Astyanax mexicanus: one gene and its partners. The protein of the gene in region 2 purifies or fractionates together with the protein of the main gene of each other region. This does not show direct contact. Links are inferred from orthologs where the notes say so. Each region holds a gene or a part of one and is shown on either strand. Other genes may lie near its edges. The genes, in order: znhit2, eftud2, tssc4 and bcas2.

Region 1 (7,636 bases), on a different chromosome or scaffold from region 2:
ACAATTAATAAAATGTGCAGGGCAGTGGCCCTTAAAGACCAGGATTGAAAAACAGTGTAATAAGCAATAGAATAGGCTCTATCAAAAGACCACAAATTAAACGGTGTCACTGAAATCGTTTCATACCTACACTGCAAAAATCTAAATATCAGCAATTGAAATGATATTTTACATTATTTAAGTAATTCAGAGCCCAAAACAAGCACATACGTTTTTTTTCATGATGGTGATTTATGATGACTGATTTATGAATTTAAGTGTAACGCAAACACCTAGATTTTATTGATTATTTTTAAAGAAAATTTACCAAGAAAAAAATAAGCAAAATGCTGTGCAAATGCTTTAACTAAAATTTAGACTTTTAGACTTAATTTAGACTAATTTAGACTTTAATAGAATGTAGATAAACAATAATAAACGAGAATATAGCAAAAAATATATATATATATTAATTAGACTGTTCCAGGAACTTATATACAGACACACATAAGTACACACACATCAGAAAAAAATGAATAATAAAAAATATAATTATACCAGAATGTGATATAGAATATAAAAGAGATATATGAGTGTGATAACTGTGAGATTAGGCTAAATACACATGTAATGTGTGTGCAGACATGAACAAGGTCGTTACCTGTGTCCATATTAGTTATTAATTTAAAGTCATACTATTTTTGATATTTGATATTTTGTATTATGACACTGGAAATATTATATAATAGATTTGATGGTCAAATCTAGGGGAATTATCTCATAAGTCTTAAGTCGTCTCAAAAAAACTAAGATAAGACACAATGTATCACATTGCGGCACAGTTAAAAGCTCCACAGGACAGTTAAAAAGCTCTGCAGGACAGTTAAAACAGTTAAAAACCTCCGCGGTACAGTTAAAAAAAACTCCGCGGTACAGTTAAAAAACCTCCACGGTACAGTTAAAAACCTCCACGGTACAGATAAAAACCTCCACGGTACAGTTAAAAACCTCCACGGTACAGTTAAAAACCTCCACGGTACAGTTAAAGAGCTCTGCAGGACAGTAGGAGAGTGTCGCAAGACAGTAGGAGAGTGTCTCGGGACAGTAGGTGAGTGTCGCGAGACAGTAGGAGAGTGTCGCGGGACAGTAGGAGAGTGTCGCGGGACAGTAGGTGAGTGTCGCGGGACAGTAGGAGAGTGTCTCGGGACAGTAGGTGAGTGTCGCGGGACAGTAGGAGAGTGTCGCGGGACAGTAGGTGAGTGTCGCGGGACAGTAGGAGAGTGTCTCGGGACAGTAGGAGAGTGTCGCGGGACAGTAGCAACAGGACAGGGACAGTTTTTGCTCTTACTGCTGCTGTGAATAATTGGGACAGCAGTAGGATCCTCCTTTGAGGATTTTGTTTTTAAAGCTTCCACAAGGGTCAGCCATATGATTTATATGGAGTCCACCATGTTGTCAAAACTTCGAAGTGCAATTCTGAGCACACCTTCTGTCTTCGATTCAAATCTACAAAGTATTCCAAAGCTAAGGTTCAAGGTATGTTATTTTGTAAAATCTTCCTGTTCTATCATTTGTTCTTTTGTTTAGTTAAAAAATTTTTGTGTGTGAACAAATGAGAGTTATTTAATTAGTTAACTGAAACATAAATATTTTCTCTTTTTAAACAAAAGACGAACAATGAATGAACGGCCAGTTCCTGCAGGTAAATATACTGTAAATCTGTGCTGATCTCTCATTTAATAATAATTTAGCTAAGAATTAAGTACAGAAAACAAAGGAAGATCTATTGAATTCTTTAATCAAATACAAAAGTTACAAACACTGCTCTACATCACCAGCCCAGACTCTTTGAATACTTTAATGATCATCTGTAAAGAGGAAGGATAATAAACTAAAATGTGATAGCCCAGAGTTTGACAGCCGGTTTAAACCCACCGCTAGCCTGCTAGTATACTGTGCCGATTCTGACATCTAAGATCAACATTGTTTTAATGCATTAGCGATGGAAAAATGTACTTTGATTCAATGTTCTTTTATTATCTAGCCATTTATTAATGAAGACTTTAGCTTTTAAACCTGTTTTTTTTTTCACTTTCAATCAATTAAATTACAATTATTATTTTAAATTAATTATTAATAAATAACTTAATAAACAAACTCACCGAAACAGATTCAATAACAATAAAGGCCAAAGTCTTTATCAGTTAATTCTGCGGCTAAAATTCTTCCGCATATACAAGACCCTCCTGTCTGTTTGAATGGAGAGAGACTGAAATATTCATTACCAAATCTAAGATACTCATTTGAACAACATATTTTAAATAACATGTTGATAAAATCCAACAAAAACCTCATGATTTGTAAGTTTGTAGCGTCTGGTTCCATAATGCACAAAACAAACGCCAGAGGGAGCCCGCGAGTGAGTCCTCAATGATCCGAGGTGAATGGAACTCAACGGCTAAAAACTCATTTTAGAAAGAAAACAGAAATATCCTGGACAAGTGGTGTTTTTGGTGAAGTAAAGACTTCACCTTTATTTACTATATAAATATGTGTATACGAGTTTAATAAAAAGTAACTAATCTGTGTCGTTTCGGTGTTTTCCCACCCGTATTCCAACATGTCTGGGTCTGTATGAAAACGGGTGAGAAATAAAATCCGCTCTCTCTCAGCGTGAGTCGGGAAAGATGGCGGCGTCCTTTAGAAGCGTGCTTATGACTTTGAGTCCGGGGTGTTCCTTTAGAAGAAGAATTGGCCTTCCAGTTAGATATGTGGTTAATGTTGGAGCCTGTGTGCAGGTGAGTTAGATTTTATAACTTACATGCATATTATGTTGTGTGGTTGTTGTGCCGCTTGTCCGGTAAAACTCGAGATCTGTTCTACCTTAAAATGTTCCTGCTGCAGCATTTAAGGTGGAACGGAAAATTCAAATAGAAAAATGTTTGTGTGCCTCGATAACCGATTGAGGACATTTTTAATTATTGATATAATATGATTTTACACGTAAAATCATATTAAGTGCTGAAACAAAGACCATGTGGATGAGTTTTCTTTAGGCTGGCAATCATTGTAGGTAGATCGATGTGATTTATATTTATTTATGTAATGAAAAAAGCGCTTATGGACATGTTCAGTGCCCTGGTTGTTCGGTTTCTCCATGTTCTCCGTTATGATTGTTTATCTGTTTTTCAGTCAGAGCACAGCAATGTTGGTGGAAAGGGAAAAGTAGTTGAATCTACAGAGGAGTATAAATTCGTGGAGAGGCTGATTCCCCCGACACGGGTCCCTACCCCACCTAAACATGAAGGGCCTACACCATCAGGATGGACCCCTCCATCAGGTAAAGCGGTGTGTCCTGGTGGTCGGTACAGTTGTGGCAGAGTGACTAGTTGATTGGCATGACTGGAATGATAAAACAATCCATATAGTGATGCTCTGTCTTGAAACAGGTTATTTTGTATCTATTTTAATATTTACTTCGAAATTTTACTAGAATTTTTGTATAATTGCAGTTTAGTGCAATATATATCCACTAAATGTTCTGTAATGTAGTATTTTGGTACCTTTTTTGTTACATAAATTGAGTTTTGTTGTTAAACAAAAATACTAAATTTACACGTTTGTAAAACGAATTTTTGAAATTAGTTAAATATTTTTTAATTGTTTTGTTATTGTCAAGAGTATTGTCATTGCAATAATACACAGAATATCATGATATTATTTTATAACAGTCTTGATTGAGCTGTACTATCAGTGTGACCAGCTTGAATAGCAAGATAAAGCTAGAGAAAGCTTTTTCACTTTAGTACTCAAACTTTAGTATGATCAGCTTGATCAAAGTGGGGAAAAAACAACTTGGACAGTTAGCAGCTGCTCTTCATCTGGGGGGTTCAGTGTAGACAAAGGTTAACATTGCACACAACAATTAAAATATGTCTTTTCTTTTTTTTTGTTTAAAAAAGAGACACCACCAAATCTGCCATACATGATCCGACGCTCCAGAATGCACAATGTTCCTGTCTACTCAGATATCAAACATGGAAACCAGAAGAGCACTATTGTACGAAAAGTGGAAGGAGACATCTGGGTGAGTTAAGTGTGTATATTTTGTCCTCCATGCTCCAATTAAAGGGTCATAATGATTTTTTTCTGTCAACCTCTTTATTCCTTATAAATAAACTAATTGTTTTTTTAACCTTACTCTATGGAGTTCTGATTTGCTGCCTTAAAGGTAGGGATGCTATCCCCCTCTATGCCGAAAGCTTTTGTTTATGAGCTCAGTTTGTTTTTCAGGCTTTGGATAAAGATGTAAAGAAGTATCTGCAGCAGCTGACTGGCAGAGAGCCACCAACACAAGTTAATGAAGTCACCGGGAGCATTCGCATTAAAGGGGAGTTTGACACAGAGCTGAAGGAGTGGCTGGTGAAAAAGGGGTTTTAAAGTGCTGAAAATCTGCAATGTTGTGTTTACTGGTAATTTAGGATGGACAAAAAAATGGCTAAAACTGTATGAGGAGAATTCCGACATGTTTATTACTTGCAGTGCCACATTTAACAATGTAAATATATATATTTTAATGAAATCTGGATGCTGAGGTGCATTAAATCTGATTAGAGTTAATTATGCTCATTAAGTGCTGACCGTATCAGCCATTTAGTCAGTAATGTTTATTGTGGTTCACTTCTCACAGTAATTGCACTGTCCACCCCTACAGTTAATACCAGCTGATCTGCCAGTGGAGCAAAGGTGAATATTTCTCACTTGTTTTTGTAATGTATTTCTTGTCTGAAATGTGTAAATAAATTAAAACTTGAAATAAAGATAAAAAAAACTTGTGTATTATTATTAACTGTGCTTGATGTGATTAAGCTATACTTATTAATTGTATATAATACAACAAACAAATATGCAAACATGTAATTACTATTATAATCATGTATTTTAGTATTAGAGGCATATCAGTAAATAATTAAATATTGACTGTAGAAAGTGGATTATTAACTGAATGTATACTTAGAGAAGGCTGGTTTATTTACTGTTTGCCGTTACGGCTGCGTAAATGTAACGCCGCATGAAGCTCGTGAAGGCAGCGCGTTTTGTGTACGTCATCATCGCGAGCCTTTCGCCCGGGAGCAGAAGCAGCGCGTGAGTGATAAACAATAAACTGTACAATTCCTGTATTAAAGGCGGAATACTGCTGTTTGTAGTGGAACGTGGTGGTGAAGTAAAGCAAAAATATGGGTGGCTTCAATTGGTCTCAGACTTGTCTGGTATCTTAAATGCCGATTATGGTAGAATGGACAATTTCAGAGATAACATTAGCTAAAATGAAACGAGAGTAAGAGAGACTACAGAACAATTGTTAACAAATAAACGTTACAGATTTTATTTGTGCTTCCACTGTAAATCTAATTTTGATTTGTTGTATTCTTGATATGTTGACCCTTTGGTTAAATGATTTATTGAGGGTCTTGAGAGTAAATTCAGTGTTTCCGCATTAGCACGTAGTTGTGAAGTGAAGTAAAAACAATACATCTTGTCAATACTTGTAGGATTATCTTTCGCTGCAAATTACAGCTGCAGGTCTTTTGCGCGTCTAGTGACTTTTTTTTTTGCTTTTCTTTGCAAAACCGTTCAAGCTCAGCCAGGTGGATAGAGAGCGTATGTGAACAGGACGTTTCATGTATTGCCACAGATGCTCAATAGGATTAAGGTCAGGACTTTTTGGCCGTTCTAACAGATAACTATTGTTTGATCTGAACCATTGCACTGAAACTCTGGCTGTATTGTAAGGCTAGAATGTTTTTTGGAGAATTGTTCTGTATTTCTCATAGAGGCTTTCTTTAAAAAAAACTTTTTCATAAAGACCAGATTGGAGTAAACAACCAATAGTTGTTTTGTGCACAGATTTTTTCCAACTTCTCTGTGAATCTCCGCAGTTTCACCAGAGTGACCATAGGTCTCTTAGCTGCTTCTCCTTGTGTGAGCTGTTGGGTCCTTCTGTTTTTGCATGATTGATTGAACAGTGCTCCGTTAGACCTGTAAACATGTTATTAATCTGCAAATCACAAAGACAAAAAAAAAACAACAACTATTAAGGCACTGTCCACATTTAGCCTCATTCTGAACAGACATCACTGACTCACTGTGATGTTCGCATATTCATAAAACTGAACTTACCCTGTCCACACACCCCCACTGATGGTGAAGTTTCAAAATCTCCACTTTGAAAGGCATTTTCTAAAAGCACCGTTTTCATTGACCTGAAAACTAACGAAGGCAATTATAAAATCCAAACGTTTGTGGGTGTAATAATTAAATGATTAATAATTAAGTGAACAAAGCTGCAATCAATTTTTAATGAAATGTGATGAGTTTGATTGAATGTTTTTGTAACTGTTTCTACTTTTTTGCAGGTAGTAGCTGCTGCAAGATAAGTGTATGATGGAAAAGATGATTAGAGGGAGAGTTCCTGCGAGTATGCAGACATTTATGATTGACATGACTCCAGAGAAGGAAGAGCTGAGAGACTGGGAAGAGGGGGAACCCGACCCTGTAACAGGACCCTTTCAGACTGCATCTGAAGCTCTGCTGAGTCCAGCTGGAACAGACATGGTGGCCTCCAGACTTTGCGGACTCTGCTTATCCAAATCCTGTTGCTACACCTGTCCCAGGTGTAATGTCCCGTACTGTGGACTCAGCTGCTACCGTGGCCCAGCTCATTCAGCGTGTTCGGAGGAGTTCTATAAGGAATTCGTGTCCGAGGAGTTGAAGTGCTCTGATGTCACAGGGGACGAAGGGCGAGCTCAGATGCAGGAGATCCTCCTGAGGCTGAAGAGCAGTGCTGCTGTGAGCGGGGGGCTGGAAAATGTGTTAAAATGTGAAAAGGAGGAGAGCAGGGAAGATGTGACAGAAAAAGATTTTGTGGCACTGGAGTTGCTGACCAGACTGGCAAAACTACAGGCCAGCGGAAAGGAGGAAAAGGAGGTTCAGGAAATACTGCAGAAACTAAAAAACATGGAAGAAGGTCCTCACAGTGAAGAAGAAGAAGAAGAAGAAGAAGAAGAAAAAGATGAGACTCTTGCATGTAAGCTTTCAGGGGTGAATATTAACTCTCTAACAGAAGAGGAGCTCTGGGATCTTCTGCCATCCCAGGACAAGGAGCAGTTTGAGCGCCTTGTGATGGCAGGAGGTATCGCAGGCTTGGTGCCACTGTGGAGGCCCTGGTGGGAAAGACATGAACAGACCACCAAATCATTTGTAGAGGAACTACAGTCAGAGAAGGATGAGGCACAACTGAGTGACCAGAAGGGAGGACAGGGTTTCACAGGTCAAAATGCAAATAAGGAAACACAGATGAACAATTTACAACCAGTTCAAACAGACCAGTGCCCACCCCAAGTCAGACAGGGTCTTAAAAAACAGAACGTTTTGTCCAAAAAAAAAGGCGGCCCAAACTCTGCTCCACTTATCAGTACTAAAATCCTGCCCCTTCACAAACTGTCCTCCAGCCACTCCCCTCTAGTCCAGTTCAGCATGGTCAACACCCTTTACGGCTATGCCTTTTCTCTTTGTCTGTTTAATGGAGACATTTCTGAGTCAGAGCAAATGCTGGACTTTTGCCGAACAGTTTTGGAGATTTCTGAGAGTCTGGACA
Region 2 (7,503 bases):
GTGTTTGGTACAGGGCCTCTGGGAAAGTGAATCTTTCATAGCCCACAGTAAAGAAGACCCCTCACTCGCTCTCAAAAGAATGTGCACACACACAAACACACACACACACACACACACACACACACACACACACACAGGAAATAAACATGAGATGCATGAGGACATGAGATGATATTCCACCCAGTGGAATCATAGATTTATTGGAAGTCCATGTAAATATATGGGCGTTATGAGAATCTCTCTCTCTCTCTCTCTCTCTCTCTCTCTCTCTCTCTCTCTCTGTCTGTCTGTCTGTCTGTCTGTCTACTTGTCAGTCAGTCTGTCTGTCTCTCTCTCTCTCTCTCAAAGTCAAAGTTTCTTAGGTCACCTAGGTCATATAAATGGAGTAAACTACTTGTATTTATAAATTTGCAATATAACTTAATTCATTTTAGATTAAAAATAACACATTTTTTAATTTGTAATAGTGTACTAATGTAGCAAATTCTCATTGTAGGCTGCAAAATTTAGATTTTTTAAATCTGAAGTGGTAAAGCATTTACAAAAGATAGAGGGAGTGCAAGAGAACATAAAAATAATATTACATTATTTTATTTTACAATAATATAAAAAAGAGAACAAATTTGAGCACAACTAACGTAAGACTTACAGTAGAATAACATTACAAATAAAATAAGGGGAAAATAAGGTAAACAAAAAATGTATAAATGTATATAAAACAAAACAGATAAAAACACAGATTTTAAAACATGAGAACAAGAATATATAACAAAAAATCAAAAATAAATATATCGATTAAATAATAAACAAAATGACAACTACTAAATAAAAGTAATAAATACAACAAAAAATAAAATAAAAATAGCTGATTAATAATACAATTTAAAGATCTTCAAAATGATGAGTGAAATCTTTGCTTCATCTTTAATAATTAGTCAGGATGCAAACAACACATTTTTGAACACTAAACATTTTTAGTGTAGCCTACTTTGATGAGATGATCATTTACATAATATTACAAAGGCCATCATTATATAAATGATTGAAAATGTACACATTTGTTGTGCAGTTCTAATGTAAATTAATACACTTCTTCTAATTAGAGTAAAAAGCATATGTGCTCAGTCTCCATTTCTCTACTGATTACTATAATGATAATCCTAAATCATATTGCATAACACTGCTTTTCTCATTCAGTTAGGATCATTCTGTCTTGTCTCCAGGCATAAGAGATAAGCATAGCATCATTGGTAGATACAGCTAACACCCCTTTATTACATACATTATTTATAATAAAAGCATCTGTATGGGTCTTTGGAGTGAAGCCATATGCAGAAAAAACTATTTTCCACAGATTTCAACAGATTTTCAAGTCAGAATCCAGTCAGACTGTTAAATGTCAGGGACATCAGTCATATCAGTCGAGTGATGTTTATTTTATGATGTGAAGCCCTTAGCTTTTAGCAATCTGCTAAGCTATTTATAGTGTTCAGACTGTGTTCACTGACTGAACTTTGAGACAATTAGCTTAAATAACATACTGTGTTTATTACTAAACAATATACCATCAGACATTGCTCATGCTGCCTTGCCATAAGTACACTGGACAGTGTTAAGCCTCAATCACCAGATAAATCCTCACAGTTTATACAGGTGTGGGCATTCTGAAGCCATTCCCTGAGGTAACACTTTCGGCCCTATTTTAGCGATGTATTGGCAAGCCGTCAATTGCACACTGTGCAGCTTAATTTAGGGCTTGTCAATGTGTCTTTGCTATCGTAACGTCGGGAAAAGTATGCCTTCTGCAGCTCAAAATGTGGAAAAGGCATGTGTTAATTGTTTTAATTAATCATGGATCTGTTTTGGGAAAGAAACCAAATAGCATGACCCGAACTCTTGCATGGCAAGCATTTTTTATGTCTCTTTTATTCGGGTTAATTGGCACCAGATTAGTGCAAAAACAGAGAATTATCTTTGCATGATGGAGTTTCTGGAAAAAATAAAAAATAAAAGATGTCCACATATGAGGACTTTAGTTTTATATTTGGATAGAACACAATGTTGCACTTAGTAATGATGTGCAAAACATTTATTTTGTGCCCAGAAGTGCAAAACCAAAGTAGAATCAATTGTGCCTCTTTGAGCAGTATGGCTCATTTAAAGTGCTGCTTCAACACAAAGACATAAAGTAAAAATCATAACATTTACTGTATTTACTGTTCATTTTCAATTTCTGAACAATATCACAACTGTAACGTGTTAAACTCTTCTGCCACCACTAGGAGGAGTATAATGGTCTCAAAAGAGGAAAGCAGGCCCTTGTAGAGTAAAATTTAGTGTTGTGGTCTAGACAACCCAATATGTGATGTCCACACATGCAAATGTCAGGTCCTAGGAGGTAAAATATGTTAAAATGATGGAATTCTTTGCCTATAAGGCAATGTCTTAAACCCGTCTTTCTGTTTGTACGTCCATGTCTCTGTCTGTCTGTCTTTCACTGCCACTGTCTGTCCCTGTCAGTGTTTCTCTATCAGTCTGTTGCCTGACTGACAGTTTTCCGGTCTTATCTTCAGGCTTTTCTCAGTTTTGATCTGGTGTTAATTAAATATGTTAATTCAGACGTCCATTGAAAGCCTTTATATACATGAACAAGCATCTGAAATAGTCTGAAGCCTGTTTTTTGATGTCTCTCCTTCAACCTCCCACCAACCTCACTTCCAACAGCAACACACACACACACACACACACACACTCTTTAAAGATCAAATTCATTTTTTTCTCTCTGAAGACGGGTGACTTTAAAGTTTATTGATTTTGGGGTAAAATAAAAAATGAAATCTGCCTGCATTGCTCTTCAAAAGATTCTCCATGTCGTCATTCCAAAAACCTCAGGTCAGGTCATGCCTGTGTGCTGCATGTAGGCCTGTATTTCTGCGGCTATTTTTAGATGTATTCAATTTACTAGGTATGTGTTAGGCTGAACTCTCCATTCATTTTAAATGAATGGCCTCAAAGAAATGCCTACAATGTTTTATAGGTCTGTTTTGCTGACCCATATTATAAATAGAGAATATACAATAATAGAATCAGTTATTACAGAACAGTGTGTTACAGGGGTGATACAGATTCACTGTAGACACTGCATAAAAAAACATTATTTTTTCCCACTTGAAAAATCACTTGTTGTTGAAAAAGCACTTTACAGCATGTGCTTAAAATACACGAGTATCCAGTAGGTGACAATTGGGTAAATAAGAGTGAGTTAAGTGTGTTAAAGTGTCTGAAGTGGAGCCAGTGTCAAAATGTAGCCGACCATTTACAGTAAACGCTTTCATGTTCATATTTATGTGCCTGCCCATGTGGAGGGCATTGGTGTTAGCCATTATTTTATCAAATAAAAGTGTTTTAAACACTTGCCAAAGAGTATCCAAATGGTGGAATTTCATTTAATCAATGTGAAATACAGGTACAGATTTAGAGTTGATATTCCACAGACTTGTTTACTAGGCAGAATATTATTTCAGTAATTAGCACTCCAGGGTTAGCATGCTGCTAACTGCACTTTGTAACTCTTGCGAGAACTGTAAAATGCTGTAACCTGAGACATTTTAGCTTAAAAACGTGTAATATTACTCCAACGCCTCAGTCCACATGCTATTTTCACTTTAGAGGCTAGTTCTGTTTCTTTCACCTTGTCAACAAATGCATATTTAAAGCACAAAAAACTGCATTAACAGCATCGAGAAAAACCTGAAATACACTCCTTACCTGTAGGCGGAGCCAAGATCCACACAAAAAAATAAGATAAAACATAAGATAAAATTATTCATTAAAATAAGTATTAGTAAAAGAAAAAAAAGCTAAAAGCTGTAAATAAAAACCAGGGTTATTCCACCAAATATTGATTTCTGGACTCTTAAAACTTGACTGAATATGAACTTGCTTTCTTTGCATTATTTGTGGTCTGAAAGCTCTGTCTCTTATTTGTTATTTCAGCTATTTCTCATTTTCTGCAAATAAATGCTCTAATGCTCTTTATTTGGAATTTGGGAGAAATGTTGTCCGTAGTTTATAGAATAAAACAACAGTGTTCACTTTACTCAAACATATACCTATAAATAGCACAATCAGAGAAACTGATTCAGAAACTGAAGTGGTCTCTTAATATTTTCCAGAGCTGTATATCGGGGCTGGTGTAATGGTGTGTAAGGGCGCCTTCTTCAGGCCTCTTAAGTTACTGCAATGTAATATTTTAGCTTTGCATTCTGTTTTTTGCCTCTTTTTGCCTGATTCTGTGTAAGCGGCTAGAAACGCTTAAACACTTAAACCCTTTACCTTGGTGTAAACCGCACAGTATGACCGTATAATCGTGTTGTTTCTTTATATCCACGGCTGTGTTTAATGTTTAGAAAACCGCTGCACGAATAAACATGTGCTGTATTTGAATTCAGGCACATTACGGGATACCTGTATTCGCCGCGACGTCAGTAACGTTCGCCTTACGTTTCGGTTGTGCGAGGACCCGGCGGTGTGCAGCCTGGTAACAGTGCGAGGGAAAAATAAATAAATCAGTGAACAAATAAAGCGGATTGTACTGTTTCCGGAGTGAAACAGAGGCTTCGGTTAATCGCAGGTAAAGTCTATGCTGTCCGTTTGAGATCTGAGTGTGAATTTGAGCGTAATCAAGTGGAGAAGCTTTAGATGATCTGATATTAAACCCGAACCCATTCATTCACATGGGCTGAGCCTGAGCACGAGCTGCGTTACCTGGATTTAACGGTGTAGATAGACCGGTCAAATTCGAGCAGAGCCTCGTACATACAGTTTTTTTTATAAGCCGGTTAAATTGAGGGAGGTTTGGGTATTTTTTTAAACTAGCTAGGCTAGCTGAGCGTTGTTTGCTTGCTATAGCTAAGTTAGCTTAGCTTAGCTGAAGGCTGTGTTCCCATTGGCGCCCTTGTGTTGTGTTTACTAGTAAATTAGGCTGCTAAATAGCCCAGAAGTTTAACACTGGTTCGTGTGTTTTATACAAAGACAGGGTGGTGACGATGCAAGTCGCAGAAATTATGGGATGCACGAAATCCCTAATGCTGTCCATACACTACACGACTTTGAAAAGACTCTGAAAAGACTTTTAACAGACTGAAGTCTGACACCCTCTCGCACATACATACATGCATACATGATGTGTTTTGCTACAACCTTGTATTGTAAAGAATCATAGTTTCACTGCTATACATTTGCCTTTGTTTTAGATTAAAATTAGATTGAAATTGTGAAATTGCTTGAAAATCATTAGGTGTAAGGTGGTAGGATTAGTTCTAATTCTGATATTATCTTGTAGCTTGATGATCCTTGCCTTCTTTTTTTCCCTTCTCAGTTCAAAGGTTGTTTTCACTTAGAATGCTGCTTTTTGTAACTCATTTAATTAAATGCATTCATTTCTATGATTTGATGTGTATTAGCCTTGTTAGGCTAACTATATTTGAAATAAGCTTCTGGATCCAAGCTGAAAGGATTTTATACTTGATTTCAAGTATAAAAGTAGAACAATAAAACCAAAGTGTTTATTGTAGCTGGTAATCTGCACACTAAGAGTATTCATTTAATCTCTCTCTTTCAATATTGCTGCCAGAGGTGCTGTTGACACCCCATCGCACAAGGCCGCAACATCATGGAGACGGATCTGTATGATGAGTTTGGTAACTACATCGGGCCAGAGCTGGACTCTGATGAAGATGAAGATGTAGATGCAGAAGACCGGGATGCAGATGAGGTAAACAGCTCAAATAAACTTTGTGCGTAATAATCTATTTACAGGGCTGTTTATCTGTGTATTTGTTGCTTTTAATATTTTAGCACACATCGAGTTTGATTTGAGTTTGAGTTGCTTTCTGTTCCAACTTGGTATTTCCTTTATTTTGGCAATGTGTGTATAATTTAATGTGTGGTTTCTGCAGGCAGATGAAGATGACGATGATGATGACCAGGTGGAGGGGGATGAAGATGGTGGTGGTGGTGGTGGTGGTGGTGGGATGGAGGTGGTGCTTCACGAGGATAAAAAGTACTACCCTACTGCAGAAGAAGTGTACGGGCCGGAGGTAGAGACTATAGTCCAGGAAGAGGACACCCAGCCTCTCACTGGTAAAGGACTTTTTTTTTTTTTTTTTTTTTTTTTTTTTTTTCTATATGAGGTTCATTTTTTTACTTTCTTTTAAAATGTTCTGACATCAGCAAATAAAAAAAAATGTGATTGTAATGTGATGTGTTGTGTAGAATTTGTATTTAAAACAGTAAAACCTTAGTTATAAAAATTGTAGTCACTGATGCTGCATCTAAAACTGTTCTCCCTCTTACTTTCCCTCTCTGTCTGTCTGTTTCTTTCTCCTTCTCACATAGAGCCTATTATTAAACCTGTGAAAACAAAGCAGTTCACTCTTATGGAGCAGGAGTTGCCAGCTACAGTTTATGACATGGAGTAAGTCTTTGTTGCAGTCACACTTATTTAGTATTGGGGCATCTGCTCATTCATTGTGTCTTCTAAAATCAAGGGTATGAATCAAGTATTAGTCAAGTACAGGATATTTTCCAGAGAATAGTTAAAGGTTATATATATATATAATATGTGAATTACATATGTAATATTTATATCTCACATTTTTAGTCTATTTTAATATACCTTTTCACTGAATATATGATACATTGTTACAATGTAAAGTAGTTTGTAGTGCTGGAAAATGAAAACTGATATGGACTTTTTACATACCACCATACCGCTAGAGGCATTATGGAGCTGTGTAGAATAGCACCGCCAAAGAAACAGATACAGCTTGTTAGCTAAAGATAGCCAGTTAGCTTCACAATCTAACGCACTGGTGCGATGGTAGGTCTGCCCTGTGAAGTCAAACTTTATCTAAGGAGCTCCTGTTGCTGTTCGTTGCAATATGAGTGTTTCTATCTAAGTAAAATAGAAAAACAACATCAAAAAGCAATTATTCACTCAGAAGAAAGACAAATGGAGTTACACAATCAATTCACATCTTGTGAAAAAGTTCCTCTCATTGCCCAGAAAAGCCTAAAAACAGTCCTGAATGCAGAATCATTTATTCAGCACAAGTGTTAAAACTCCCTAAAATTCTGAATACGAGGTGCAAAAAAAGAAAAGAAAAAAACAGTGATATACCTTCAAACTCGCAGAGCTCCTCCATGGCATCACTTCAGAGCTGGGGGATGTTGGAGACCTTGCGCTCCTTCACCTTCCACCTTCTTGGCCAGTCGAGCATTTTTACCCTCAGTTTCTTTGATACCTTGTATCAAAGTGTCATATCATTCCCATGAAAAGATATAATTAGGTATTTACAAAAATAAGGGGGGTGTTCTCACTTGTTGCAATTTAGGTCAATAAGAGTCTGGTCAGGGTTGAGTGAAAGCTGAATGAAACATAGTACAGAGATTAATGAAAACCTGATCCAAAGTGCTCTGGACCTCTGACTGGGCTGAAGG
Region 3 (7,947 bases), on a different chromosome or scaffold from region 2:
AGAAGCCTAGTGTTAAATGAAAGGTACTAAAAGATATTTCATTCAAAACAATGAGATCAAAAGGTAGGAAACCCCTCCTCAGAGAGTTTAGCCACAAACTACCAGACTACTGTTACTTTCAGACACTGTAAGGGATTGTGAGCTAACCTGGCTCAGTCCTAAAATTAAAAATATGAAAAGCTATTTCATCAAACCCACCAAATTTAAACGGTAGGACACTAAAAATGTTTAAATGTTAAGTAAATGGGAAAATATTGATAAAATACTTTAATATCTTTCAGCATTTTATAATATTTAGACCATAAAACCACTTCAGATATCTACATGTTGGTGTAAACAAGAGAAAACAACAACAAACAAGTACAATAAACAAGTAAACCTAGAGAACAACAGTGAAAAGACGTTTAATGCTAGTCTGCAGAATCCTAGTGTTAAATAAAAACCCAAATAAGTTCAAATGGTAGAAAACTAAACATGTTTCAAATAATAAGCGGTTGGGAAAATATTAACAAAACACTTTAATATCTACATAATTTGCGTAAACTTAATGTCTTTATCTTATAAACATGATTATTAACATGATTCTATTAGTATTTTACTCTATTTATGACCATATTAACACATTAGATGTCTACATGTTTGTGTTAAAAATACAAAATCACAACAAACTAGCACAACAAGTAAACCTGGAGAACAACAGTGTGTAAAGAGGTTTAATGCTAGTCTGCAGAATTCTAGTGTTACATGAAAAACCCAGTTCAAAGTTCAAATGGTAGGAAACTAAACATGTTTTGAATGTCTTTATCTTATAAATATGATCATTAATATGATTCTATTAGCATTTTATAATAGTTTGACCAAAAAAAAAACACATCAGATATCTACATGTTTGTGTTAAAAATACAAAACCAACACCAACAAGTACAACAAACAAGCAAACCTGGAGAACAACAGAGTGTAAAGAGGTTTAAATAAAAAGCACTGAAAGCCATTTCATTCAAAACAATGAGATGAAAAGGTAGGAAACCCCTATCCAGAGAGTTTAACCACAAACTAACAGACTGAACTTTCAGACACTGTTTAAGCTTGTGAGCTAGCCTAGCACGATGTACAGGTATTTAAGGTATTTAAAGCTATCTATCTATCTATCTAGCTAGCTAGCTTTCTATCTTAGTTTTAGTGGGCTTCTAACCAAAACCAGCCTTACTGTAGTCCAGTCTATTGCTTAATCTAACCACAGGAGGTCATTTAATCTAATTAAACGTGTCATAAATACAGGAGACTGTCTGTTTTCACCACAAAGCGTCTCTCTCACACGAGCCAGTCCATTCTCTCCGCTCAGACTGGTGTAAATCAGTGTATCAGAGCCGGGGTTTATTATTATGTAGAAGGGTGTTTGGTAAAGCAGGGTTTACCTTCTACATGCGCGTCCGCCGTGTTGGTCATCTCGATCAGAGTGGCATCTTTGGTTTTCCCCGTTATTCTCTTCATTTTCACTGAATATTCCTCTGATAAAAGGCAGGGTTACTGGATCCAGGGCTTCTCCTGGTTGATAAAGGGTTGAACGCGCTCCCTATAGTCCTTAAAGATTCCTACAATCCATTCAGTCCATGCTGAAGCTGCTGAAAGCTCCTCCAGCTGTGCGCAGGAAATCCTCCTGAGATCGAGCAGCGACCGGATTGTGGCTCATACAGAAGAATAGGGAGCGATGTTGGCCTTAAAGGGGAGTGGCTGAGGAGTGGGGGGAGCTACTTTACGTCGGCATACGTGTGTGTGTAAATATGAGGAGGTGTGTGTGTATGAGGAGGTGTGTGTATGGAAGGTTAAATTATGTGCCAAAGATTTTACACAAAATAATAAAATATGCATAACAAATATCTGTATATTATTATATTTGTATGTAATAAAATACAATGTATATTTTCTTTTATCATTAATAAAAAAACATACATTGCTGTGATCTCTATTGTATTTTTATCCCAAATCTCCGTCTCAGCTTATCAGGTTAAGATCATGGGATTGTGGAGGCCAAACACTTTTCAGTTTTACTGTTTACTACATAATTACATATACAGCTCTGAAAAAATTAGAAACTCTTCAGTTTCTGAATCAGTTTCTCTGATATGTGTCTAAGTAAAATGAACATTGTTGTTTTATTCTATAAACTACAGACAACATTTCTCCCAAATTCCAATGAAAAATATTGTCATTTAAAGCATTTATTTGCCATATTTGGCCTCAAATAATGCAAAGAAAACAAGTTCGTTTACATAAAGTTTTGTAAGTTTTAAAGTTCAGAAATCAATATTTGATGAAATAACCCTGGTTTTAATCACTGTTTTAATGCATGGTATTGTGGCGGCTCTGGGTTGTGTGTGTGGCTGCCTGTAGGCATGGTTCTGTTCTCCTGTGTGCAAGGATGACAGGGGTGGGGCATCTCCCTTGGGAGGGGTTATGCAGAGAGGGTGGGCACCACTCTGGATCTGCCATCTGGGAGACACACAGCTGGGTTGGTGGCCTTTGGGCTATTTGAGTTCTGTGGGAAAATGGTTTTAGCTCTCCTAGTCTTGTTAAAGGCTGTAAGTGAGTGGCAAGCCGGTTCAATAAAGGAGCTGTTGAGCGTTCAGCATGAGTCTCACGGGTCTTCCTTCCTCTTCCACGCCACAGTATGTTCTCCTCCACCAGTTTTACACACTGCTTTTAAATAACTCCATGCCACTCCTGATGCAAAAATTTAAGCAGTTCAGCTTGGTGTGATGGCTTGTGATCATCCATCTTCCTCTTTATTATATTCCAGAGGTATTCAATTTGGTAAAATCTATGAAACCTATGCTTTCATGCATTTCCAAACATGGCAGAATAACACGTTTCCAAACCAGTAAACTGAACTGCAAATTTTTGGGCTGTAATTTCAATGACAATACTGTAACATACTGTAACAGTAATATATTCCCTAGCTCTCTCCATGCAAATCACAGTAAAGCAAAAAAAATGTTCCTGCATTTTATCTTGGAATATATTTTTATATTTTACAGTTAGTCTTGTACATTGAATTTGTTGTCTACAAATTGAAAAAAAAAAATAATAATAATAAAATAATAATAATAATTAATATATTTCACTTATATAGAGATTTATTCAGACAAATACACAAAGAAAATACAGTAAAACTATACTTTTTTTCACCAGTGTGCATTTATAATTAGGCAGGTGTGTTTACAGTACCAGTGGAGAAGCCTATACCCCATGTGACCCAGCTGTGATAGATAATTTAAAAGCACATGCTCTTGCAGATCACATCCCTTTAGCACTTTAGCATTATAGCCTCTGCATCACATCTGCTCACATCCCCTCTCAAATCTAAAGCAGCCTAGGGCTTTTCTTTAATGAAGACTTAAAGGAATGATATCTCACTAAACAGCTGGAACAGCTGGCAAACAACAGCTCCAGTGACTGTGAAGAACGGGCAGTGTCTCCCCCTGCTGCATAGAAACCCGCAGTACATGACAGAGGCGCTCCCTGTACCGACCGACCAGTAGTGATGGCAAAAATGGTCCTAGATCTTTTCTGAGACCCTTTTTTATAAATATATATCTTATATAAGAAAGGTCTTTTGACTTGATAAAACACAGTGGATCAACACCAGCAGATGACATGTCTCTCCAAACCATCACTGATTGGTGGAAACTTCACACTAGACCTCAAGCAGCTTGCACTGTGTGTCTCTCCCCTCTTCCTCCAGAATCTGCTCGCTTTTACATTTCATTTACAAATGAAATGTAAAAATTACTGATGATCTGTGATGGTTTGGAGAGACATCTCATCTGCTAGTGTTGGTCTAAAGTCAGTGCCTTTTTCCCCTCAGAAAATCGTACATTTTATGAAGATGGGGATTTCATTTTCCAGCAGGACTTCCAGCACACTTTCCTAGCTGACAAAAGTACAAATTAGTCTTATATAATATTCAAATTTTCTGAGACACTGATTAATGGGTTTTTATTGGCTATAAGCCATAATCTTCAAAAATAAAAATAACCTCTTAAAATAGATCACTCTGTGTGTAATACATCTATATAATATATTAACATCCTTTAACATCTGTAAGAAGCTTCTGTAGATGTTCTACCAATCAATCGTGGCCAGTATTCTCTTCTATGCTGTGGTGTGCTGGGGAGGCAACATGAAGAGGAGAGATGCATCACGGTTGGACAAGCTAGTCAGGAGGGCCGGGGCAGTGGTTGGAATGGAGCTGGACTCTCTGGTTACAATAGCTGAGAGAAGGACTTTGGATAAACTGCTTTCTATCATGAACAATGATAGTTACCCACTTCACACCACCATCATGAAGCAGAGGAGTGTGTTCAGTGGCAGACTGCTGTCACAGAGCTGCACAACAGACAGACTTAGAAAATCCTTCGTTCCGAGAGCCATCAGACTCTTTAACTCCTCTCATCGGGGACGGGATGCTGCTGCCGACTGAGTTTAATCCAGTCACACCACATGGACATTATTCAACCACTTAATTATTTACACTAACACTTCCCCAACCTCACTTACATTCAAGTACACTTTACTCATGATTGAGTATTCACATTTTCACATTCTTTTTTTCTTTTTTAGAACTATCTTCTAACGGATGCATATATATATTTCTACGTCACATCAGTCACTTTCGTAATCAATGTCATTGCACATTGCACTTTACTCTGCACTGCTCCTTTTACAGATAGATCCTTACCTTGTATAGTTAGGTTTTTATAGCCTTATATAATTTCTATTCTTCTGTGTTTTGATTTGTCTGAGTCTTATCTATCTATCTATCTATCTATCTATCTATCTATCTATCTATCTATCTATCTATCTATCTATCTATCTATCTATCTATCTATCTATTAGTATTTTACATGTTTATACTGAAATAAGGTAACTTTTCAGTGATATTTAATTCTTTTGAGATGCACAGGTGTGTCTGTTGTGGGCCAGTAGAGGTCAGTACGCGACTGTGAGTTGATCTGAAGACACGAAGAAGGAAAGGTAAGCGTAGCTGCTGAGCTAGATATGGGAGAAAGTAACGTCTTATATTGGGATTAAACTCCTTTATATAGCTGAGTTATTGCTCTCTGAGTAAAGTTGCTATCTTGGTTCTGTCCGGCAGTTGGAAAGACATAGATTAGTGGTCTGAATTATACCAGAAATCGATATATATACATACAGCTAGCTTAGCTGTTAGCCTCCAGCATAGCTAACTTAGCTAGCTTAGTCAGATAACTAAGTAACTTACATGCTGTGAAGGATAGTGAGGTTAGCAGGTTAGATAACTAACCTACTGCCGTTAAATACTAGATATAGACATTTCTTGTCCATTTTAATTGTGTTTTTGTGTGTTTGTATTGACTAAGCGTATACCTTTTTCTATTCCATTTAATGTTTTCCTCAGATTTGCCTTAATATAGCTGTAGTGATAACTACAAGTAACGTTAACTTAGATGTTTTTGTTGACTAGGAAAGAGCTGGTGTTGTGTCGCGTTGTGCTACCCTGATAAACCGTGCTACCCAAGTGAATATTAACAGGCAAAAAAAAAAACACCACATTAAAAAATGCTCCCGGTGTTCTGTCGAGATGTGCTACCAACCAATTTGTGCTTCTTACAACCATTGCGCATGCGTATGCCCACATTTTTAAAAATAGTTTTCTTTTTTTGTGTTTTTATGTTAAATCTGTTTTACTTTGTCGCATTTAATAAGCAGAACCAGCTGCCAGAGTGTTACACACGTGTAAAGTTAATAATAAAGCTAATAAAGTTAATCATACAAGTAATAATGAGACAATAAATAACAAAAAAAGAAACTGTTGTTCCCTGTTAACTGTTCCCTTCAGGCATTCCAAATATCCTACCAAAACTTCTGCTGGGAGCTTTTCAAAAAACTGTGCCTTTCTGGTATTTTAACAAAATACCAGAAATAATAAATAAATAACAAAAAAAAGAAACTGTTGTTCCCTGTTAACTGTTCCCTTCAGGCATTCCAAATATCTAGGGCTGGCCCGAATAGCGTTTTTTTGAGCTCCGGATATTCGGCACTGATTCGAAGCGAATATTCGAATATTCGTTTTTAAAAAAAGAGGTAAAAAAAAATAAATAAAAAAAAAGCAAATCACGGCCCCTTTAATCCACTGAAAAATGTTCAATTTGCTCTGACCGACGAGACATATTCACCCCGGATTTTTGGTGTTTTTATCCCCCATATTTTTTCTGTGTTTTTAGCTCAGATTTCTTTGTGTTTTCATCCCGGAATTTCTGCTGCCCCACACGCGGCTTATCCGCTGCGTAAGCAGGCTAGGAGGCTGCTGCACGGTTTCTCCGCTGTGCAAGCCAGCCCAGTAAATTGCTGTTTGTGTTTTCACACTTAGGCTATTTGCTTAAAAAAACAAACAAAAAAAACGTTTGTTCAGGAAGTATTTTATATTCTTAAACATTGGTAATTATATTAGAGGACAGTCATTGTAAACTGTACTTGGTCTATTTCGGTTAAAGGATTGTGCAGGGCATATTACTGATTTTGTATTTTTGCACTTGGGCTATAAGCTCAATATTAAATATTTCGTTTGTTTAGAAATTATTTTATATTTTAAACCATGTTAAATTATATTAGAGTAGAGGAAAGTCATTGTTAATGACGTTATTGTACTTGGTCTATTTCGGTTTAAGCATTGTGCAGGGCATAGCCGTATTACTGATTTTGTATTTTTGCACTTGGGCTATAAGCTCAATATTAAATATTTCGTTTGCTTAGAAATTATTTTATATTTTTAAACCATTTTAAATTATATTAGATAAGAGGAAATTCGTTCAGACATCATTTTTGTAGGCCAGGCTTTTGTAACCGATTTAGCCCCTACTGTTGCCACATTACCCCTTACGTTTTATTATATAAATCAGTTTCGAAGAGCCTGCATTTTTTTTTATCATGTATAATAGAGGTCTGCGCGAGACTGATTTTTAAACCCACTCTTCCACGCTCCCGCGTTTCTGTCTCGTTACCGCTCCGCAAAAAAATTGCTTCTTTTAATCCCGCGCCCGCCCGCCACATAGTGCGGTCCCGTTCCTTACCCCAGTCCAAACACCATCGGTGTGTGCGTGTGTGTGTCGGTCCATCCTGCGCGTTGAGAGTTTTCTTTAGGTTTTTTTTTTTTTTTACAATTATTACAGTTTTCTTAACTATTTATTAATTTGCTCCCGCATCGTCTGGATTAAACTCCCGCTCCAGCCAATAACAGTTCAGTTCTGTCCCGCGCGCAAGATATTCTGACGGGACCCGCGAAAACAGAAGTGGTTAGAGTGAGGTGGAACTCTGGAAAGGAGAAAAAAAACGAATATCCGAATACCAAAATTAAAAACCGAATACCTACTCAACGAACGAATATCCGAATACCCGAATATTCGGGTCCAGCCCTACAAATATCCTACCAAAACTTCTGCTGGGAGCTTTTCAAAAAACTGTGCCTTTCTGGTATTTTATCCTAATATAAAAATAAGTATAAACTAAGGTAGCACCTTTTCACAGAGTAGCACAACTCGGCAGAACACCGGTAGGAGTCTATGTTAATATCCTGAAAGGCTATATCACTGTATCGGGCATAGGATAGAATCAATTTTTCAACTTTTTTTTTTTTTTTTAGTTTCTAAATATAATTTTACTACTTGGATACTTTAGGGGTTTTATTCAAAGTGGTTAACTAATCCTTTAAATGTGTTTTTTTTTTTTTTTTTTTTTTTTGTTACCTTCATATCTTAGGTAGTGTCTGCATCGTATCCTCACATCCAAGAACTGGCTCACAACTCAACACTATGGCTGTGCTGAGACTCGATGGCTCTTCCCAGAAAGTGATAATCTTTTCCGAGCAGGAAATCTCGCAGAATCTGTGAGTCTTCAACCCCAGTAAGATAC
Region 4 (7,183 bases), on a different chromosome or scaffold from region 2:
TATAAACCTCTAGCCAATAACCCTGCATTACTGCATATTACCAGAATAAATGCCAGTGATCAGCCATTTGGTTCCCACATAGTCTCCAGCTCTTATTTTCTGCATTTTTTGTAAAATAGGTCTGCAACAATTAGGAGATGGGTCTCCAAAAGTGCCCAAACACAACAGATTACATATTTAATCACTAAATATCCGTACTTTCCACGTTTAAACAACATCTAGAGAATTAAATGTCTTTTAAATATCTCATGTTAAGCTGTTTCTATTGTTTCTATTGTTTTTAGAGGTGGAGGACATGGCAGAAATATTCGTTGACTAATAATCATTAGCTTAGTTGACAAATAAAATGATCTGTAAAATGTATCTTTTGTTGTGGAGTCATTAAAAAAACGAACCAAGCTTTTCTATCCAAATTCACAGCATATATAGGACTTGTTGAAAATCACATATTTTGAGCCTCTTCTCTTCTGAAATAATAAATTGCCTCTTTCTCCCATTTATTTATTTATTTATTTTTATTTTATGTGTAGAATGAGATTTTTTCCATTATAAAACCCTTGAGGTCTTTAACATTTGTATAAATTTTGAATTTAAAAAGTTTAAATTGATTAAATTAGTTTTAAATTATTTTTTTTTGCCGTTTTTTCCTAAACCTGTTGTTCTCTCCCTGCAGTGGAGTGTGATCTGAGTGCTCTGGTGTCGGAGGCGTTTGTGCGTTTCTTCGTGGAGCTGGTGGGACATTATTCTCTGCACATTGGCGAGACGGGGACGAGCAGCGGCGTCCGCGAGCTGAACAGAGACACGTTCAGGAAGTCTCATCCGTCCCGCAGGGTCCGCCAGTTCCTCCAGCTCTTCATGGACACACAGATGTTCGCTGGCTTCATCCAGGACCGAGAACTCCGCAAAGGGGGCGTCAAGGGTGAGTGAGTGATCCAGGGTTTGGGGAAAAAAAGTTCTTGTGTGTGAAAACAAACCAGCAAGCAGCACAAACAAGCCAAGAATTGGTCCTGGGTGTGTTCTTAAGGTCTTAAGGAGCTAGTTTAGTTTTATCTTCATTACTAACCCAGCACATATATATATATATATATATGGTCATGGAGACGTCTGTGAGTCAGACGTCTCCATGAGTTCTTTTTTTTTTTTTTTTTTTAGTTGAATGTGTTTTAGTTTAATGTGTTTATGGGTTTCTAACAGGCCTGTTTGAGGTCAGAGCAGCAGAATACCTCGCCTCCTGCCCCGAACCCGAACCCAGCGGAGTCAACAAATTCCTGAAGGGACTCGGTAAGATAGCGTCTTCACCTCCACCAAAAAAGGAAGCATTATTTCCCCCTCTTTCCTCCCTGTGTGACAGTTTGCTGTGTTTTAGGGAACAAAATGAAGTTCTTGCAGAAGAAGTGAGGGATTGCCTAACGCAGAAGGAGGCCGGCGTCGAGCGCCGAGTGACGAAACCCGGCGCAGGAGGCTGTGATTCAGCGATCAGGCTGCGGCGATCCCGTTCCTCTGAGAAAAAGAAGCGATCAGAGGGGCGGAGAGACGAGAGAGACGAGAGGTCGAGCCCTGAAAACGCTCCTGCTGGGAGCGCCTGTGCAATTTCAATCGGTTGAAAAACTGGAAATGGACTTTTGTAAACAAGCAACAAAGAAGGACTGAATTAGAGCGGGAGGAAAGGGAGGAGGAGGAGGAGTGTGTGTCATGTTACTGTTGTGTAAAGCAGAAAGCTTTGGATTCGTGTCGTTTGTGCCGGATTGTGTCGATCTGTGAGCTAATGAAGTAGTTCTCTTCACACTAACCCTGATCTGATCTGATCTGATCTGATCTTTCTTCGTCTTTTCTGTGACTCTCAAAAAACAGGACATTTTTATTTTACATTTTTTCTATATTTTACTCCTCGTTCTTTACTCCCAACTGCTTTCCAAACTGGAAAGTATTATTTTTAGAGATAAATATAAATGATTGAGATGAGGAGGTGCTTCTCATCTCCTGCAGAAGTTGTGTATATTTATAATTCCTCTGAGGCACACTGATTATGCTTCTCGATAGATTTTTAAAAGTCTCTAATTATCCTTTTATCTTATTTTTCTTTTTAACAAACTAAAAGTTTGTGTTGTATAATGTCTGCGACGACATATTTCAAAATGCTTTTATATTTGACATTTTGTACAGTTTTATATGTGTGTTTTGTATAACCAAGGAGCTTTTTTTTTGTCTTTTGTGACTTTTTCAAATTAAATGCTTTCATATAAAACCTCCTGTAATCATTTAGTCATTTGGTGTGTGGGAGCTTTTTGCTGATGCAGAAGTTCCTGTAAATGCCTGATTTACGTGTGATAAAGGCTTTGGAAAAGCTGGCAAATCAAAACTGGCAAGTAAGGGCTTCAGGCATTGTAATTAACATTTCATATGCGCGAGCACTGGCTGTGTCTCAAATCAATTACTTGCTCCCTATGTAGTGAATAAACCTTTCCTAAACTCAGATTTTCAGGGAACACAAAAACATATTGCTGTTGTTATTGCTGTATAAAATTTAGCAATGGTTTAAGAGAATAGTTCTAATTTAACATTTAAAAAATATTGATTGAAAAGACAGAACGTTAGCATTTAACATTTTTAAAGCCACAAATTGTAGAATTTCCAGCTAGCTTTATGGACTTGGTAATTCTGCTGACTAAAAAAACTAAACAACTACGCAATATGTATAAGCAATTAATCCTTTAAAAAGAAGAAATAAACTATGGGTGATACATAATATGAAAGAAATAATATATTAAAGAATCCAGTACTGTTAATAATGCTTTAAAACAAACTATAATTGTGTATATATATGGTGCTTAATTATATGTAAACATTTATAAGTAAAATATTGTAAAATAACTGTAAAATGGTGAATATATTGATTATAAAAGGGCGGTGTTAGTTCAATATAGTGTTCCATCTCTTTTTTTAAAGTCAAAAAAATATATGTTTTTTTACCTGAAAATTTAAGTTTATTCATATAAAACCTGGTATAAAGTTTATGATAAGGGCAGGATCCTCATAAACCTGAGAGGCTGCCCACTCCCTGTCTGCACACCACTAGAGGGAGCCCGCGAGAGAGTCTCAAATATATGGGGGTGAATGGAGCTAAACGGCTAAAAACTCAAATTAGAAATAGTTACTAACCCCTTTTCCAGGATATTCCTTTATTTTAGGACAGTAGAAAAGTATTGTATTTAAAAAGCAAAGAGCATTACTGCTACTGTGAGCTGATTGGTTGGTGAGATGATGATGCTGGAAGTACAGTCAGCGCCCTCTGGTGGCAAAATTTATATATTTTGTTCTCTTTTTCCTGAACAAAATTAATCATAAATGAACTGTTATATAAAACAATTATTGAAAATAAACAGACAATATAAAACTGACAAAATAAGAGAGCACTTAAAAATGATACGTTTCTTTGATTTTACCAAATTGAAAACCTGCTTGAATTTCTGCACCAGGAGTAAAGCAGCATAAAGTTATCCAAAAGCAGTGTGTAAGACTGGTGGAGGAGGAGAACATGATGTCAAGATGCATGAAAAAAACTGTGATTAAAAACGAGGGTTATTCCACCAAATATTGATTTCTGAACTCTTAAAACTTTATAAATATGAACTTTCTTTGCATTATTTGAGGTCTGAAAGCTCTTAATCTTTTTTGGTATTTCAGCCATTTATCATTTTCTGCAAATAAATGCTCTAAATGACAATATTTTATATGGAATTTGGGATAAATGTTGTCTGTAGTTCACAGAATAAAGCATCAATGGGGGGTCTAAATATTATAAATATTATCAAAGCTTGGTGTATCTCTGGATTCTAATATCTACAAACTAGCTATGGATATTTTGAAGTAAAAAACGGGCTTCTGCTAAATACCCTGAATATAATGTAAATGAGTGGGGTAATTTTCTTTTAATTTAAAAAGTTTTTTTTTTTTTCGCATTTTCAGATTTCATTAATTGGGACTTGATATACAGTTGAATTTTATTCTAGTAGCATGTAAAAAAATATTTTTTTTTTTAGTAAATTTAGAAGTATGAATAAAAACTTGTCCAAAATAAAGAAAACATTTATATTAAGTGAAATTCTCTGTAAGAGATTCTGTGGTTCAGGTTGAAGGGTATATTCTGGCTGGGATGGGTGTTTTTCCTCCAGGCCTGCGGGCGGCGCTGGTTCCGCTGCGGGGTGAAGGGCTCAGGCGGGCGGCTGCGCGCTGCTGCTGCTGGAGCCGCTGCGGGAGAAACATGGCTGGAACCTCGTCGGTAGCCGGTGAGGTGTTCGTGGACGCGCTGCCGTATTTTGATCAGGGTTATGACGCTCCGGGAGTCCGGGAGGCGGTGAGTACCGGGCGGGGCGGTAACGGAGACCCGGGGCTGTTTAGTTTAGTTTAATTCAGGCTGCGGATCTGTGAGTTTAGAGGAGACGCAGCGTGTTCTCCCTCCTAAACAACAGCCCGGTGTTGCGTCCAGTTACGCTACTCGCCGATACCTGCTTTCCAAAGGCAGTGCGCATGCGCTGACCTAGAGTTATTATAAATTTTCCTGTTTTTTATTATAATAAATCTGTTTTTGTCGTGTCTTTTGTGTTTTAAACAACACGAACTGACTCATTTCATAAAAGTGTAAACGAAAATTAATAATAATAAATACAGTAGCCAGTTTATAATAACCTCCCATTGCCTTAACTTTATTATAATAAAGTGATTTATGCTATTCAAATATACTAAATCTACATCTACTGGAATTTCTACTGAAAACAAGCTCTAATACGGATTTTCTGTTAAATATACACTTGGGTAGCAGGATTTGATATGGTTGCACAATTCGACAGAACACCGGCCTGAGCTGCGCTTCCTAAAGCCGAGTTACAGCCTCTAAACCACCGGTTATATACTCTGTATATACGCTGTAGTGGTGGGCGGTATGATCATATATCATATATCACGGTATTTTTCAAGATTTAAATCATAGATTGAATATCAATGTATTTCTTTATTTTTCTATGTTGGATTTCCAGTGAGTGCATGCTGGGAATTGTAGTACCAAGTTTAACACAGCCAGATCAACGAGGCTGCATATTATTCCACAATAAATAACAGATTAAATGCTAGTTTTGCACCCCTATAAAGTAAAAACAAGTACTAATAAAACAGCAATTGTGATTAATTTACTAAAAATTATAACAGCCTGTACAGTCAATAACACTATATCCTTCTATAACTGATGAACATGTTCTGTTTCCAGGCTGCAGCCTTGGTGGAGGAGGAGACCCGGCGATACCGGCCTACAAAGAATTACCTGAGTTACCTGCCAACACCTGATTTCTCTGCGTTTGAGGTAAATAGATCCTGATCCTGTTTCTATTCACAGATTCTAGTTTGGCTGTGACTCACCTGGTTGTGTGTTCAGTAATATTATCCATAATTGATTGATCGATCGATTGATTGATATAAGATGTTCAGTAGTGTTATTATTTTTATTTATTTTTTTTTTTCCTGCACCCAAAGACTGAGATAATGAGGAACGAGTTTGAGAGGCTTGGTGCTCGCCAACCTATGGAGCTGCTCAGCATGAAGAGGTAGGAGATCCTGAATAACAGATACAAAGACCAGTGGGTTTAGTATATTGTGTGAAATATATTGGTATTTTTGAAATAGGGCTGGATAATGTGCCAAAGATTTATTATAAAATAATTCTTAACTTCAGTTGATACAAAAAACAGCTGAAAAAAGTACTTTCTCTTATCTTTATTGAGAAAAACTATTCACTAATACTTATTTGTAAGTGGTAAAAGTATGTGAACTTTTGCTTCTCAAATTTAATAAAAAGGCTTTTTAAAAAAAGGGAGGAGTAGTTTGCGAAAGAGGGACTGGGTGATGTATGGGTTTAGGGGTGTGGGGCAGGAGGAATTCTCGCCTGTAGCACAGTTGAACCTGAGGGGGCGCTGCAAAGGCAGAAATGAAAACAGAAACACAGCTATTATTGAGTTTTGTGGCTCACTGCCTCCTAATGTACGTAACTTCAGATACGAGCTTCCAGCCCCCTCATCCGGACAGAAGAATGACATCACAGCGTGGCAGGATTGTGTGAATAACTCGATGGCCCAGCTGGAGCATCAGGCCGTGCGAATAGAAAACCTTGATCTGATGGCCGAGTACGGAACCAACGCCTGGAAGTTTTCTAATGAGTACGTATTAAACTGTAGTAGCTTTTGACTTTTAGTTTTAATTATTGTGTTTTTTTTTTATAAAGTAAAACTGTATGTTTATTTGCATCTCTTATTTCTGTTTAACAGTAATTTGGCTTTCATGATTGAAAATGCACAAAAGGAACTGCAGAAGGTTCGGTAAGTAACTGTTGGTGTGTGTGAACAAATGATCTTTAATAGAAAAGTCTGTTTAACTTGGTGGCCATCTTCTTTAAAATGGTACTGGATCTGGATAAGTGGGGAGAGACTAAAATACTCAACTTAATGGTAAAAATAAATATATATTAAAAATTGCATTAGAGAAATCTCATTAATAGTTTCTAGCGTTTGGTATAATAATGCACAAAAAAATGTTTTATAGCTTTTTTTTTTTTTTTTTTTTATGTTTGGTAGCTTTTTCACCAACCAGTAAAATGATGGGCGGGACTTTATCTGTAAACAGATGCCATATTGGTAGTTGCATGAACTCTTTTTTTTTTTATTTTATCCAGTTTCTGATCTTCTAATTTATACCATCTCTGTTCTGTATTTTTATTTAAATATTTTATTTTTATTTCAAATGTAGCAGATATTTCTAATTCTAAATAAAATTTCAAGCAAATTTAATGAGGAATCTGGCATGAAATAGGTTTCCTCCAATCATCCCCAGCATTGAGAAATAAAGCACTTTTTGCAGATGCTCCCACCAGGGTCACAATGCTAGGAATAGGGGCATAGCATCTGCCTGTGCAAAAAAAAAAAATCACTATTTACAACCTTAACCAAGATCAAAGTAGCTCCACACTTCACTGATAGAATTCTGAGGGCTCTACATTTAAAATGAGGCAATGAGAGCTTTAAAAGTGCACATATATGTTTATTAAAACACTGTTTGTTTATATAGTGTTTAATAAACTGTAAACTATAATTAATACACAGTGTTGTGCTGCAGTGCTTTTCTCTGGGGATTATATGGGCTG

Evidence for each region.
Region 1: the proteins of eftud2 (region 2) and znhit2 purify together in Homo sapiens (affinity purification with mass spectrometry; 4 studies listed by BioGRID and IntAct, with this or other methods). This does not show direct contact. The link is inferred for Astyanax mexicanus from reciprocal best matches to the Homo sapiens genes EFTUD2 and ZNHIT2.
Region 3: the proteins of eftud2 (region 2) and tssc4 purify together in Homo sapiens (affinity purification with mass spectrometry; 4 studies listed by BioGRID and IntAct, counting the BioPlex papers as one, with this or other methods). This does not show direct contact. The link is inferred for Astyanax mexicanus from reciprocal best matches to the Homo sapiens genes EFTUD2 and TSSC4.
Region 4: the proteins of eftud2 (region 2) and bcas2 purify together in Homo sapiens (affinity purification with mass spectrometry; 3 studies listed by BioGRID and IntAct, with this or other methods). This does not show direct contact. The link is inferred for Astyanax mexicanus from reciprocal best matches to the Homo sapiens genes EFTUD2 and BCAS2.

Annotation. Positions count from the first base shown.
Region 1 is NC_064427.1:14,889,949-14,897,584, reverse strand, and holds the start of znhit2 (zinc finger HIT domain-containing protein 2), read left to right. Parts: upstream 1-4,625; 5' UTR 4,626-4,725; exon of another isoform or gene 4,726-4,828; intron 4,829-5,034; exon of another isoform or gene 5,035-5,124; intron 5,125-5,139; exon of another isoform or gene 5,140-5,692; intron 5,693-6,395; 5' UTR 6,396-6,420; coding exon 6,421-7,636. Other genes in the region: mrpl49 (mitochondrial ribosomal protein L49), read left to right, coding at 2,667-2,777, 3,172-3,319, 3,942-4,066, 4,273-4,419. UniProt on the Homo sapiens protein: May act as a bridging factor mediating the interaction between the R2TP/Prefoldin-like (R2TP/PFDL) complex and U5 small nuclear ribonucleoprotein (U5 snRNP).
Region 2 is NC_064426.1:27,201,378-27,208,880, forward strand, and holds the start of eftud2 (116 kDa U5 small nuclear ribonucleoprotein component), read left to right. Parts: upstream 1-4,488; 5' UTR 4,489-4,633; intron 4,634-5,635; 5' UTR 5,636-5,674; coding exon 5,675-5,776; intron 5,777-5,960; coding exon 5,961-6,144; intron 6,145-6,399; coding exon 6,400-6,478; intron 6,479-7,503. UniProt on the Homo sapiens protein: Required for pre-mRNA splicing as component of the spliceosome, including pre-catalytic, catalytic and post-catalytic spliceosomal complexes. Component of the U5 snRNP and the U4/U6-U5 tri-snRNP complex, a building block of the spliceosome.
Region 3 is NC_064430.1:8,174,777-8,182,723, forward strand, and holds the start of tssc4 (protein TSSC4), read left to right. Parts: upstream 1-4,933; 5' UTR 4,934-5,034; intron 5,035-7,792; exon of another isoform or gene 7,793-7,794; 5' UTR 7,795-7,847; coding exon 7,848-7,921; exon of another isoform or gene 7,922-7,938; intron 7,939-7,947. Other genes in the region: anoctamin-5, read right to left, coding at 1,416-1,491. UniProt on the Homo sapiens protein: Protein associated with the U5 snRNP, during its maturation and its post-splicing recycling and which is required for spliceosomal tri-snRNP complex assembly in the nucleus.
Region 4 is NC_064419.1:2,129,354-2,136,536, forward strand, and holds the start of bcas2 (pre-mRNA-splicing factor SPF27), read left to right. Parts: upstream 1-4,171; 5' UTR 4,172-4,261; coding exon 4,262-4,354; intron 4,355-5,260; coding exon 5,261-5,353; intron 5,354-5,523; coding exon 5,524-5,594; intron 5,595-6,041; coding exon 6,042-6,203; intron 6,204-6,311; coding exon 6,312-6,362; intron 6,363-7,183. Other genes in the region: dennd2c (DENN domain-containing protein 2C), read left to right, coding at 674-919, 1,195-1,281, 1,367-1,398. UniProt on the Homo sapiens protein: Required for pre-mRNA splicing as component of the activated spliceosome. Component of the PRP19-CDC5L complex that forms an integral part of the spliceosome and is required for activating pre-mRNA splicing.